Linked DNA regions of Drosophila melanogaster. The protein of the gene in region 1 purifies or fractionates together with the protein of each later gene. This does not show direct contact. Each region holds a gene or a part of one and is shown on either strand. Other genes may lie near its edges.

Region 1 (7,842 bases):
CGATCGACGGAAGATACAAATATTCTGAGTATCGAATAATAGTTAGAAAACTCGATCACCGGCACTATCAAATATTTTGATACTCTCACACTCATGGGTACAGAATGTACCTGCAGATACTTCGATATACCGATGTACATATACATATGTATGTACATAGTTGTGCACATGTACACAATGTATGTTGATGTTAGGTTATTTGTATGTAACTTGTTTCCTTATTCAGCATCCTCTCCAGACCCCCACTCCATCTCCCCCACACTCATTCGGAATATAGGGTCCCACACAGCATAAACCCGACTTAGAGCCCAGAAAACCCTTTCCTCTGTAAACCCTTTCACCACTTGCAATTATTGAAAATGTCAAGGACCATCAGCGAGCTCAGAATAAATAAAAATTCGTTTTGTAATGGCGTTTATTGGTTTTATTAATTATCATGAGCTTTTAGTGGGCTGAAAGGCTTACAGCGAAATGTCGGGCGTTGGGAGGGGAATTTAATCTATGCTAATTGAAAAGGAGAGGCACAGCATTGCAAAATAAGATTAAGTCCACCATGCACACTTTTCCTAATACACATTTATAAATGTTTGTTTTGTTTATTTTATAAATAGCCACATATTGTTTGTCGTATATCATATGGATATGATCCTTGGACCAAAAGAGCACCCCCAAAACATAACATTACCGATTGATTACATGTCCAATATTCGTATAAGTTAGATTATGTATAATATTTTGTTTCTTATTATCTGTGCAATATTTGTACACAATGTATTTATAAAAGGTAAGAAATAACGAATGTAGAAAATCAATAGAAACTAAATATCCTACAAAAGAGCATACCAAAGATCAGCGACTTTAAGTTTAATATCACAAAAATTATTCAAATGAGATGTTACTAAGCGCAAACGAATGAATGAGTCAAGCGGAGGCACGCATTACAAAATCATAATACATAATACATACAGACTATATAAATATCAATACTTTTTGTTCTTTAGCTATTTGAGTATTCAGGATAGAATATTTAACGCTTGAGTAATGTATATGGAAATATAATTTTCTATTTGTAAATGGAGTATATATGGCCAGAGCCACGTTAACCCAGCGCAGCTGATAGCAAAGGCTCCCAGGCCCTATTTGTGTCCATATAAAGTTTATTATATTGCTCGGCCAGAGAGTCACCGTCGTCTAGTATGGTTATTGGAAATAGATCGTTCTGTAAAATTAGAATATTTCGTTATTGCTAAGGAAAGGTTTAGTAGTCAACGAGAAACATACATTCTTAGACTGCCAAAGCTGCTCTAGCAACCGCAGGAAACGTTGCATTTCCATGCTGCTGGCAAAGAATATAACCAAATCGTCCTGGTTTTCCAATGGTGCCTCCTGGCAGGAGAACTCCAGAATGCACCACCAAGTCTCGCTCCGCGAGGTTATCTTAATGCCAGTCATCTCTTTGATGTCCGCACAAGTTAGTATGGCTAAACCGGAGTTCTTTCCGTAAACACTGGTCATTCTTTGTGATTTTTCCGGCGAAGCTACAGTTTCTTTCGGAGCTGCATCTTCGTTTGTTTGCTTAGTAGGCGTAGAGCTTAACGAGGAATATGAATGTTGAGTGCCACGGGTAGGAGTACTAATGGTGGAACCCATCTAAAATTTTAAGTCCAAATGATTACGAAGTTTGATTTGCTAATACAATAAGCGCACTTACTAAGCTACTGGTTTCAAAAACACTGAGCATATCCTCCTCAAGCATGGTTTCTTTATTTCCCTGAACGGCTGCATTGTTATCCGCCTGCTGGCTTATTTTTCGTAGAGGAGCCGAAAAGTCTTCACGCAGGGTTATTAAATGGTTATCCGTGACGATCAACGTGCATCCAAGGGTTTTGTGCTTCTCCTCTTGAACCACAAGCTAAACACAACAAAAAGTTAAAACAAATCTTCTAATATTAATTGTCTACTTACGCCACTGGCTGATTGCAAAAGAGCCTGGAGCCACTCGGAGGCTACATACTCGTCGGGCGCAGCCATTTGCAGGACTTCGCCCTTTAGCGTAATCTCGAAGCAGTGGGGGCGCTCTGATTTCACAGTTCGCCGGGCGCCCTGACACTCGGCGAGGGCCATGGCCCAGCTGGGAAGCCTTTGGGTGGAATCGTTGAACATATACAATACGCCAGCTCTAAGAAATGAACACATATTAAATTGAATTCCTTCAAATATCGAGAGTTACGAACTTCAGTAAAAAGTATCCTGGTTGCCAAAATATTCTGTTCGCTGCTGAAGTGCTGATCGTCTGCCTAAGTCTTCGATGCATGAGGAATCCCTTCATTGAAGGTCCCAGCAGTTCGCTTGGCGATTCGACTCTCATTGACCCTCCAGCTGGCACATTAACCACTGCATAGAGCATCCAATGTTCTGCTACGCCAACACAGCTGTTGGCACGCACAAAAGCCTGCAGTGGAGCCAAATGTTCTAGAGTCAGCTGACCAACTGCAGGCAGAGTGGATCCACTGCGTCGGGCACACAACTCCAGGTTGGCTACCAGGGATCCGGCTGGATACGGACCACCCGCGAGCAGGACCTGCTGCATGTCTCGATTACTGTTGCTGAGCAAAACTGTGTTGCCAAAAGGTCCCATCTAAAAAATGATGTTGCATTAACTAATATATCACAGCAATGTCATCCGTTAACATTTACCAGTATGACATCCAAGTCCTTGTAGGCCAAAACAAACTTGACACACAGACTATTTCCTTCCATATTCACCACATACAGAGTTTTATCAGTGAGTAGGACAAGTACAGGTGTCATGATGCCATCTACATTGTAGCCTGTATACAGTTTGAAAGCCTGAAATGATAAGTTTTTATAATTGATTGCTATTTGCTACACAATTACAATCTACCTTCATTAGCTGCTCATTTGATTGTTTCAGATTGAACAAGGACTTTCCTTTGAATACATCAATTGAGATCTCCCCAATGCCAAGTTCGAAATTGGACAAGTTGCCTTGGAAATCGTTATCCAAACTAATGGCAAGTTCCCGTCGCGGCGAATTCGTGCCACACATCTCAATCTCCATGGCAATCTCTGCATTTAAGTCATCTATAAGCTCGTAGTTCTTTGGCCGAGCACCCTTCACATACAGATCGGATCCGGCATGCCTCTGTTCGGTTCTCAATTTATCGGCAAAGAAATTGTTCTTGCGTATGGAGGTTTCCATTATTTTCTTCTGTGTGACATTACGAAGGAACCTATTTATAAGTGAAGTTTTGGCCGCCGGAGCTGGCGGCTTCAGTAAGTGAGCATAGTCCACATCTGTGTAGTCTACGATGACCAAATCGCTGTCCATTGAGCGCGCATTAGTTGTATCTGTAGTGGTTATAGTTAGTATGTCGTCAAACTCTTCGCTGAGAATAGTGCTCTTTGAGTCGCGACCACTACCTCCTGGTCCTCCGCGTCCAGCGGCTAGGTAGGCACTGGGGCTGTGGAGGCTCCGACTTTGGTGAGGATGCTGTTGGTCGTAGTAACGGGGCGGCTGTAAGGGTTGTCCACGCTTCTTGAGCGGTGAAGGAAGGTGTCGAGACTGACGCTCCGCGTTGCCCAGCTGCGGATTCATTGCGATTTGATGGTTGCTGCTGGTGTTGGTGTTCGAACTAGGTTCGGATATGGTTGATGAGGAAAAGTTGCGCTGAAGTTTGCCCGCGGCTGGTGCTTGTTGCTGCGGCTTAGCGATTTTTGAAGCTATATAAGCATAATGAACAGTGTTAGTCATCGGGGAAAATATTAATTCAAATGAATATTATTTGCTCACCAAAATAGTTATCTGTGACTGCTTGCTCGTCCTTTGCAACTGGTGTGCTGTCTTTGAAGCTTCGAAAGAAATTACTAAACGTCTTGGCAATGGGAGCATCCAAAAATGATTTCTTAATTTGACTAGCGGCCGGCTCTGCGATGGGAGTGTTTTGCTCGAGCAGACTGGCTACACTGGTGTGCTGAATACCGGATGAGAGTTCGGATTGCAGATCCCCCGTCTCGTAGGATACTCCGGTGTGTTCGAAAACAGTGCTCTCACAATTAATTATAAACTTGCTGCGGAACTCGCCCTGTGCGCTGCCCATTGGCACTGTTTCCTTATCGAATTCCTCTTGGCGATGCAACATCAGTGACTGTTTTGACTCCATCGGCGAGGCTTCCGTGGAGCTGGCACCATCGTCTTCGTTCTTATGCCGCAATTGCTCATCAACGTTGTGCACGAATTTCTTAACTGGTTGTGCCTGCTTGCTGCCGTCGAGACTCTTGCTGAGGAATGGCTTAGCTCTAAGAGGCGGTGACTCGGCCGCCGGCCGCGATTTGTGCTCTGGTGTCTGTTCCAGCTCAGGGACGCATTCCACCACCGCCTGCAGGTCTTCGGAGCCCTCGGGAACTCCGCGCTCCGGCAATGGCATGGTAAAGATGCTCTTTAGCGATCCAAATATCATCTTGCTACTGTTGTCGAGCAGTTGGTGCTTAATGTCGTGCACGTTAAACTTTTTTACCCGCCCATTGAGATCCTGCTCGAGTATGACATTTGTATGTAGCTTAGTTTTCTTTAAGCAGCTTGATTTCGGCTTCTTCTCCTTATTCCATACGGACTTGACTTTGGGACTGTCAGCATCTCCGATATTGGGCTCTGAATAGTAGCAATTGTCACCTAATTGTGGGATAAAGATTAATGTGGATATACATCACAAGGATTTAAGCAGAATGTTATATAGCTTACCGATTAGATTGTTGTTAGCATTGCTCATACCAATGCAATCACATGAGCTGCTCTTAGCCTGCTCGTACTGCTTACAATTCGCATTGGAATTTTTGTCTTGTTCGTCGGAATCCAAACTGGAGTTGGAACTGCTGCACACGCACTTGTAAAGTTGGGGTTGCTCTTCCTGTTTTTGGGTCGCAGGGCCGTACTCAAAGACACCTGAGGTGTCATAGTGCAGACCGGGCGCCTCGTCCGTGTCAAAAATGTTGTCGTAGTCCAGCACATCCGAGCAGGCATTTCGGTAGACCAGATGTCTCTTTCGCCTGGCACCTCCGCCACCGGTAGCCTCCTCGCCATCGTCTTCCCTGCCAGCGGCACTGAGTTCATTAGGTCCCTCCGGACGTTCCCGATCCGGACACCAGGAATATCGTCCTGGAGCGCCGGCCACGCCCGCTGAGTTAGCGAAGGCCAACTTGCGTCCGTTCTTGTAGGTGATAAAGCCATGCTCAATGTGAATGTTGTCGGTACGAGTGTTCTTCAGTATGTCCTCGTGGAAGGACACTCGCTTTTTGGGAGTTTTGGAGGCGGACGAAGCTTTGTGCACTTTGCGACGGTATACAATCTTCTCCGTGGTGTCGAACGTAGAGCACTCGCTAATGGTCATAGACTCATCCGGCGCTGCAGTCACATTGGAGTTGGGATCCACCAAAGGGAGGGGCATCGGTCTAACGTTTTCCTCGTAGGAGCAAATGGACTCCACCATCACATCGCTGTTTTCCGAGTCCAGGAGTTGTACTCCCGAATCGCTGGGCGTGGTGTCCTCCATGGTGCTGCTGTTCAAGCTGGAGCTCATCTTGTCCATGCCCAAATTGTTGTTGGCCTTGGGCAACAGAGGTGATTCCATGGTCGTTTCGATTTTCGCACTTGTCAAGAGTTATCTACGCAGTGATTTTCGTCTATTAACCTACGGAAAATTGTAAAAGTCGGTAAACCATTATTTGTGTATCTCGGCGTTCTTGCTATTAATCAATATCCACAAGTTGCACAATGCGCCGCAGCAAATCGCGCCAGTGCACAAAGGAAAATGACCCCTGACCCAGCACCCCCTTGAAAATCGCACCGGGATTAAATTCACACACCGCTGCTTCTGTCACTCACCTGCGATTGTATCGCAGGATTCCATGTTACTGTCGATCTGGGTGGTTTACGTTTCCTTTTACGCTTGCTTTAAGAGTTTTATGTGCAGATTTATCGCCACTTGTACATTTTAGAATTGCCAAAAAAAAACGTCTTGGCAAGTGAAACAATCAATATTTTGACCTCATAGAGTTGCCAGTTCCGCGAACAGCTGATTGCGCGCCAGAGCTGCCAGATAAGAGAAGAGGTTGGCAACGCGGCCTGTTACAGCAACGGGAAGTTCCGGTTTTCAAATAATATTTTTGTAAATTTTAAAATTCAACAATTATTTAACACATTATGTAAAATGTTCCTGAAGAGTTAATTCAATTTTAAGACAAGTTTGTATTCGGCTTTTATTTAAAATATTGTAGAGCACGTATTTGCATTTCAAGAAAATTGGGATTTAAAGTTAAGAGCAAACCCAGAACAGTTTGTGAAAACGTACTTCGAAAGCAAATGCCGGAACATGCCGATAAACCCATTTTTGACATCGACAGTTGGCGCCCAGTTCGCTTGTTTCGCGCAGTCAAACGGTTTTTCATATTTCACAGATATTATTCGCAAATACAGAGTGGACATTTAAATTAATGCCCTTGTCAGTGGGTGCGAACATCATTTCCTCTTTGCCATTTCGCTAACCGGGGTCAGTTGTCAATTTGAAAAGTAGTGTAGTGTGGGCGAATGCCAATGAAAGCGAATGAAACCTTAGAAATCAATTTATCACACTTTGCAGCACATCACAATCGTCGCGATAACTCTGCCGTTTCTTTATTGGTTTTTGCTGCGCGACGAGTAAAATATAATTCCTCGCTTACTAATCCTCCGAGCAAGTTCATTCTCAAGCGCACCCAGAGATGAGCTACTTTGGGAATTGACATGGACTGCGGAGCAATGAGTGCCAGAGGAACAATATCAAAGCCGAAGGTAGTGTGTTCATAATGCAAAGCCCAACTAGCAAATTGGTAGAATTCAGGTGCCTGATTGCGTTGGCAATATATTTGCACGCGCTGGAGCAATCGATCCAGCACTGCCATTGTGTTCATGGTTACAGGTGAGTCCGAGTGCGTTTGCCCAGTTTCATCAGATTTACGCCACAGGGCTGTTCTGTTCCACATATGCAGAAATAACACGGAGAGCGCCGAGCTGGTCTCCCACTACGAGTCGAGTCTTTCGCTCCCGGACATTTTGCCCATTCCCTCAAAGACGTACGACAAGAACCGGGCTCCCAAGCTCCTCGGCCAGCCCACAGTAGTCTACTTCCATGTCACGGTCCTCTCCCTGGACTCCATTAACGAGGAGTCTATGGTCAGTAGAATGTGTTCATCTTTTCAATACTCATCACTCAGCAAACACTAATTGGCTTATCATGCTCCTTTAGACCTATGTGACGGACATCTTCCTTGCACAAAGCTGGCGTGATCCTCGCCTGCGGTTGCCTGAGAACATGAGTGAGCAGTATCGCATATTGGATGTCGACTGGTTGCACAGCATTTGGCGGCCCGATTGCTTCTTTAAGAACGCCAAAAAGGTCACCTTCCATGAGATGAGCATTCCCAATCACTATCTCTGGCTGTACCACGACAAAACGCTGCTCTATATGTCCAAACTCACGTTGGTCCTGTCGTGCGCCATGAAGTTTGAGTCCTATCCGCATGACACGCAAATCTGCTCCATGATGATCGAGAGTTGTAGGTGGAAATGTAATGGTTATCTACACCCTGCAAATCCCGTATCGCTTGGAACTTTCCATTCCGCTTCTCGAATTACAAATAATCTGTGTTGAACCGAGTTTTGATTGGCAGTATCCCATACGGTGGAAGATTTGGTTTTCATTTGGAACATGACCGACCCACTTGTGGTTAACACGGAGATTGAGTTGCCGCAGCTAGACATATCAAATAACTACACAACCGACTGTA
Region 2 (4,854 bases), on another chromosome or scaffold:
TATTAGATGCTAGAAAATAAAAGACTGTTTAACAGACGCACCGAGTACTTGAGGTCATCGGTCTCAGTATCCTGTATGCGAGTGAACAGATCCTTGCATATCATGGGTATTATGCCCTCTTGCTGCTCCTCCTGCCTGCCCATCATGGTATACGACTTTCCAGCTCCAGTCTGGCCATAGGCAAAGATACAGACATTGTAGCCATCGAAGGAGTGCTGTAACATCTCCTCGCCAATGTCCTTGTACACCATCGATTGTGTGGAGAAATCGGCATCGTGGTGCTGTGATGCGAATATAAATTTAAGTAAAATTTTTTCTTGGACTCGAAATAAAACTTACATCATGTGACCAGTAGGAGTAATCAAAGTTGAAGCGCTTTACTGAATCGCTTGTGTTGGGCGGCACCTTTGGATTGGTGATGGCTGTCAGGACATAAGATTGAAGTATTTAATTAAGAGAAATCTAGAGTGTTTATGGGATTCTCACCCGTTGTGGCTCCTGCCATCTCGATGATGCATTTCGACTCCCTGGCTATTTCGCGCGAGTTGAAGGGGCGCACTCGCACCGCCACCTTAACCGACGACATCTTGTCCTTCTTCCTCTCTGTGGGTGTCCTGGTTTCCGGTTAACTGGAGTGGAAATAGAGGAACGGGAATACTTTATAGACATTCGAGTCATTCGAGTGGGCTGCAAATTGGCCAGAGACTACCACTGCCCAGCACTGACATTTTATAATTGCCCCAACTTTATGGTTATACACTCGTCCACGATTTGTTTCTGTGGCAGCTCGAAGCTATGAGTCATACCCCCGGCAACTCGCCAGGGAAATTTGAATTGAAGCCAGGGGTGGGGCTAAGAATTTATTATTTGCTGTCCTATATGTGCAATACGTCGAAGACTAAGCCGGGTACATTGCCAACTATTTTATAATACAAATTTCTTATAAAACAATAGACGTTAAGGATTGAAGATTTATTGCTTTCGAAACATTCTAGGTGAGTTCTCTTTCTCCTCTTTTTTTTTAATAAGAAGTGATACAGTTAAAGAAAGTTAAAAATTCTTTATAATTTTGTTAGATTTTAGGTTTGTTTTTCAGTAGTTTTATCACTTATCGTAATGGATTTTAATGCAAATAGTTTTCCCTCTAGTTTTTACCCTCTGACTCACACACACGCACACACACTCACACACTTGAAGCAGGGGGAAAAATTCCACAATCCACAAATGCTTCCAATAAAAGCGCAGACGAGTGTCGGCCAATAGTCGAATGAGTCATCGAGCAAATACAAGAGGCAGAATAAAGAAAAGTACTCACACCCCACAAAAGAAAGAAAGGACCCTTTAAAGGCGATGCATAACGCGTATTTTCAATATATTTCTTAACTTTGTTAAAACAAATAACTACCATTTATGGAGATTAAATTACCTTTAGTTTAGGCCAAACGATTGCTGGCTTATTGGGCGGCTATATCCTTAAAGCTCATTATAGCATAAGTTGTAAGGAATCGATTGCACTTATGTGTGATTTGATTTTTAGTTAATGTTTGATAAGGTAAAATTTGTTTTTTTTTTCGTTTGTCACTCTTTGCTTTATTTATTAACTTTCTAGTGGTAAATTCACTTGACCAACTGAGAAATTCTTTCACTCGCGTACACTAGCGTCCTGAAATATTGTGAAACCAAGTTTAGAAGCCATTCCAATGCGCAGCTGTGAGAATTGCTCTCTCTTTCCTGTCCTTTCTCTCTCTCTCTTTGTTTACCTGACCAAAATACTTTTGTTTATGTTTTTTTTTTGTTCTTTCAATTTTCCGAACAAACTGTCAAAGCAAATGTGCAACAGCCTGCAGTAAAAAGTCTCCACAGGAAGATTTGCGCAGAAGCGCGAGACAGGAGAAATGTGGAGAGAAGACAGAGAAAGGCGAGAGTATATATAGAGAGTGTGGGAGCGAAAGTGGGATAGGATATGCTAAATATTTGTGTAATGTATTTTATTTATTTTTTGTATGATATGCAGACTGACGCTGGTTGAAGGCGCACGAAACGATAAAAGAACGACTATAAGAAATTAAAATCAGGCTATATCCTTTTCGAGAATGTCCACTTCTCAACGTCCTTAGCTCGTTTTACCTGGCCAGGCTCTTGAAAATTTATTCGTCACACAGTCAACCCTCATTTGCACTTGAGAAACGAACTAAGCACTCGAGGTCCTTTGCAATACCACGCTTTTGTTGCCTTCTGCGTCATATTTTTTATGGCTTCCTGCGGGGCAACACGGCGGGCACTTAATACCGTATGCAGGACCTCTCACCACACTCATATGCGCGCCCCGTCTCATTCGTGGGTAATATCCTTGCGTTCGCTTGCGTTCTTCTTGACCTTTATTAATAAATTTTCAAGTTGCCTTTGCCATGGACACCGAGCCAGGAAATCTCTACACTCTACACACACTATGCACACTACTCTGGAGGCCACTGTACACTAGATGATGGGGGGGGGCAAAAATTAGCGAATCAAAATTATGTAAAACGTAATTATGGGCTATGTTTTATCGAGAATTTTGAAATGTTCGGTCGAGCGAATTGATGAAATTTTGCAAATATATTTTGAAGCATTTACCAATTGATTTTCTGTTTCGTTTTATTATTTTTCGGGGCATTATACTCATTAACCCATGGAACTCAAAATATTTTCTGTTTTAGGAACATTTGTGGTTGTTGCTGATAGTCCGTTGGTTGTTGTTGTTGCTGCATTTCTTGGTCTGGCTGGTGTTCTTGTGTGTAATTGAATACTAGTACAAAGCTATCCAACATGGATCGCTTGGAGGTAGTGGCGAATATAATGGACAGCACCAGAATTGTTGTTAACAATAGGGCGAAAAACAATAGGTAACCAAAAGCGCACATTCGCGTAGTTTCTTCTTCTTGACTTGGCTAAAGGATTTTTGAATATATATTATATATATATGTAGGCTCTCGTATATGTGTATATATGTGTAGGGGTCTGTCTTTCTGTATAACAGCGAAAAATTTTCACTCCTTTTTTTGGGGGACAAATAATTGATAAAGTTTTAGTTTGCCACTGTATCGAATTGTTTTAATTTGAAACTTGTTAGTTGCTTTACTTGGCTGCGCTTTGTTTAAACGGTTGGGCAACTTTTCGCTGATGAAAACTCTGAGCTTTTCTGCACAAAATCGATGGCCAGTCAGCGGAAGGCCTTAGGAAATGAAATTCGCGCACGACTCTCGAGACCAGAACGAACTGCACCCGTTAAGGGTAGACGACACAGTGAGCAGTTCTGGGAAAGTTCAGAGGATACGACGACCAGCCCACCAGCAGGACGCATGCGCCGCAATCGGGGTACAAAACTGGAAGAACAGCAACCGTGTGGGCTGTATGGTATATATGGGTATGCGAAAATTTTTTTTTTTATAAATTTCATACACATAGCGTAAAAGGTCCGCAATAACAAAACGACCGTCTGTCATCCGCGGGCACAAGGAATTTCATTATTAGCGCAAGGTGTCCACTTTTTCGGACGGCCACTGTGGCAGACCCCCAATTTTCCCCGATGTTTGATCTTATTATGAGCCATTTCACATATCGCTGCCGGCACAGTGGCTATAGCGACGGCTTTATCCACCAGCTGATGACGTAAAGTGAATTCTTTTTATTGATTTCCCATCGCACCGAGACGCAGGACAAGCTTTGGCTTTTTATGTTACGCGGTAGTCGGTAATCGGTAGTAGGTATTTGTATACTATGTATATATTCTACGGCGTAATTACATTGACATTGAAATCTGACGGCGAGGCTGGGAGGGCAGTAAAAAGTTGGAGGTTTTGGCTTTGGTAGGGAAATGTTAAAGAATGGGGCTTGGTAAAAGAATGTGCTGGAAGCTGGACGTCCTCATCTGTGGGGAATCTTTCATCATTACATTTAACTTTTTTTTAATTATGAAGTTTACAAGCTTAACAAGTGGTTTAAAGTGCAAAAAAAAAAATACAAGTATTATCATCGAAAACAGCGATTGTAGCCGGAATTAATTGTTGAATTAGTTTTTTCTGATAGCTCTTAGGAAATCAAAGTAATCCCAGAACTAGTTTCACTTTTACCCAATTCAACGCCAAGATTTCGGACTACAAACAAGTAAAACTAAAATGCCGGCCATCGACACAAAAACAACCAAATCCGATGTTTTTACCGTGAAAAACGCGTTGGATGCGGAATTCGACAATTTTTGGAAAACGGTTAGCTGTTTTGCGGCCAACAACTTTCCGTTCGAGGAGCGATGTGAGTTCGTACAGAAAGCGGAGGACTGCAATTCGAGCACAAATGTAATTCCATACATGAGACTCTTGGCCTGCGATCTGAAGTGTATCAATCAGTTCCAGGAAATGATCTTCATCGCCTTGTTCGTGGCGTTTTGCTTTCAGATATTGGTTCTACTAATTTACACAATCAATGTTTAGTAAGTAGCTAACTAAAGCGAAGATTAAAATTGAGCTTGAAATGCTTGCTTTTGCAGCTATAGTCCTGCTCTGAAGGCCGTATCCCGATTCCTTCATATGAACGAGCATTTGGCGGGAGTTACCCTGATGGCATTTGGAAACACTTCTGCCGATTTTTTCGCCAACTTGGCCAGCGTTGAACGACATGTCCCTGTGTTTGCCAATAACTTGTCGTCAGCCCTGTTTGTGATTACGATTTCCGGTGGCCTAATATTCTACATTTCGCCCTTCAAGATGAATTCCTACGAAACTGTCCGGGACATTTTATTTCTTCTCTTAGCGACTTTATTGATGGATTACTTTGCATACACGACAAACCATTTCGCATTGGGCTATGAATTTAAAT

Evidence for each region.
Region 2: the proteins of prd1 (region 1) and unc-104 purify together in Drosophila melanogaster (affinity purification with western blotting; one study listed by BioGRID). This does not show direct contact.

What each region holds. Positions count from the first base shown.
Region 1 is NT_033777.3:11,780,721-11,788,562, forward strand, and holds prd1 (pruning defect 1), read right to left. Parts: upstream 6,295-7,842; 5' UTR 5,903-6,294; intron 5,709-5,902; 5' UTR 5,649-5,708; coding exon 4,763-5,648; intron 4,694-4,762; coding exon 3,815-4,693; intron 3,745-3,814; coding exon 2,906-3,744; intron 2,851-2,905; coding exon 2,698-2,850; intron 2,639-2,697; coding exon 2,235-2,638; intron 2,180-2,234; coding exon 1,966-2,179; intron 1,913-1,965; coding exon 1,712-1,912; intron 1,651-1,711; coding exon 1,282-1,650; intron 1,220-1,281; coding exon 1,100-1,219; 3' UTR 411-1,099; downstream 1-410. Other genes in the region: HisCl1 (Histamine-gated chloride channel subunit 1), read left to right, coding at 6,862-6,974, 7,045-7,228, 7,302-7,611, 7,726-7,842.
Region 2 is NT_033778.4:16,762,712-16,767,565, forward strand, and holds the start of unc-104 (uncoordinated-104), read right to left. Parts: upstream 3,290-4,854; 5' UTR 3,122-3,289; exon of another isoform or gene 2,904-3,121; coding exon of another isoform or gene 2,679-2,903; exon of another isoform or gene 2,650-2,678; intron 1,664-2,649; 5' UTR 1,427-1,663; intron 630-1,426; 5' UTR 587-629; coding exon 487-586; intron 423-486; coding exon 340-422; intron 282-339; coding exon 42-281; intron 1-41. Other genes in the region: CG42392 (uncharacterized protein), read right to left, coding at 2,679-2,903; CG5348 (uncharacterized protein), read left to right, coding at 4,158-4,468, 4,526-4,854. UniProt on the Drosophila melanogaster protein: Required for presynaptic maturation, has a role in axonal transport of dense-core vesicles carrying synaptic vesicle precursors, components required for the morphological transformation of axonal growth cones to mature boutons.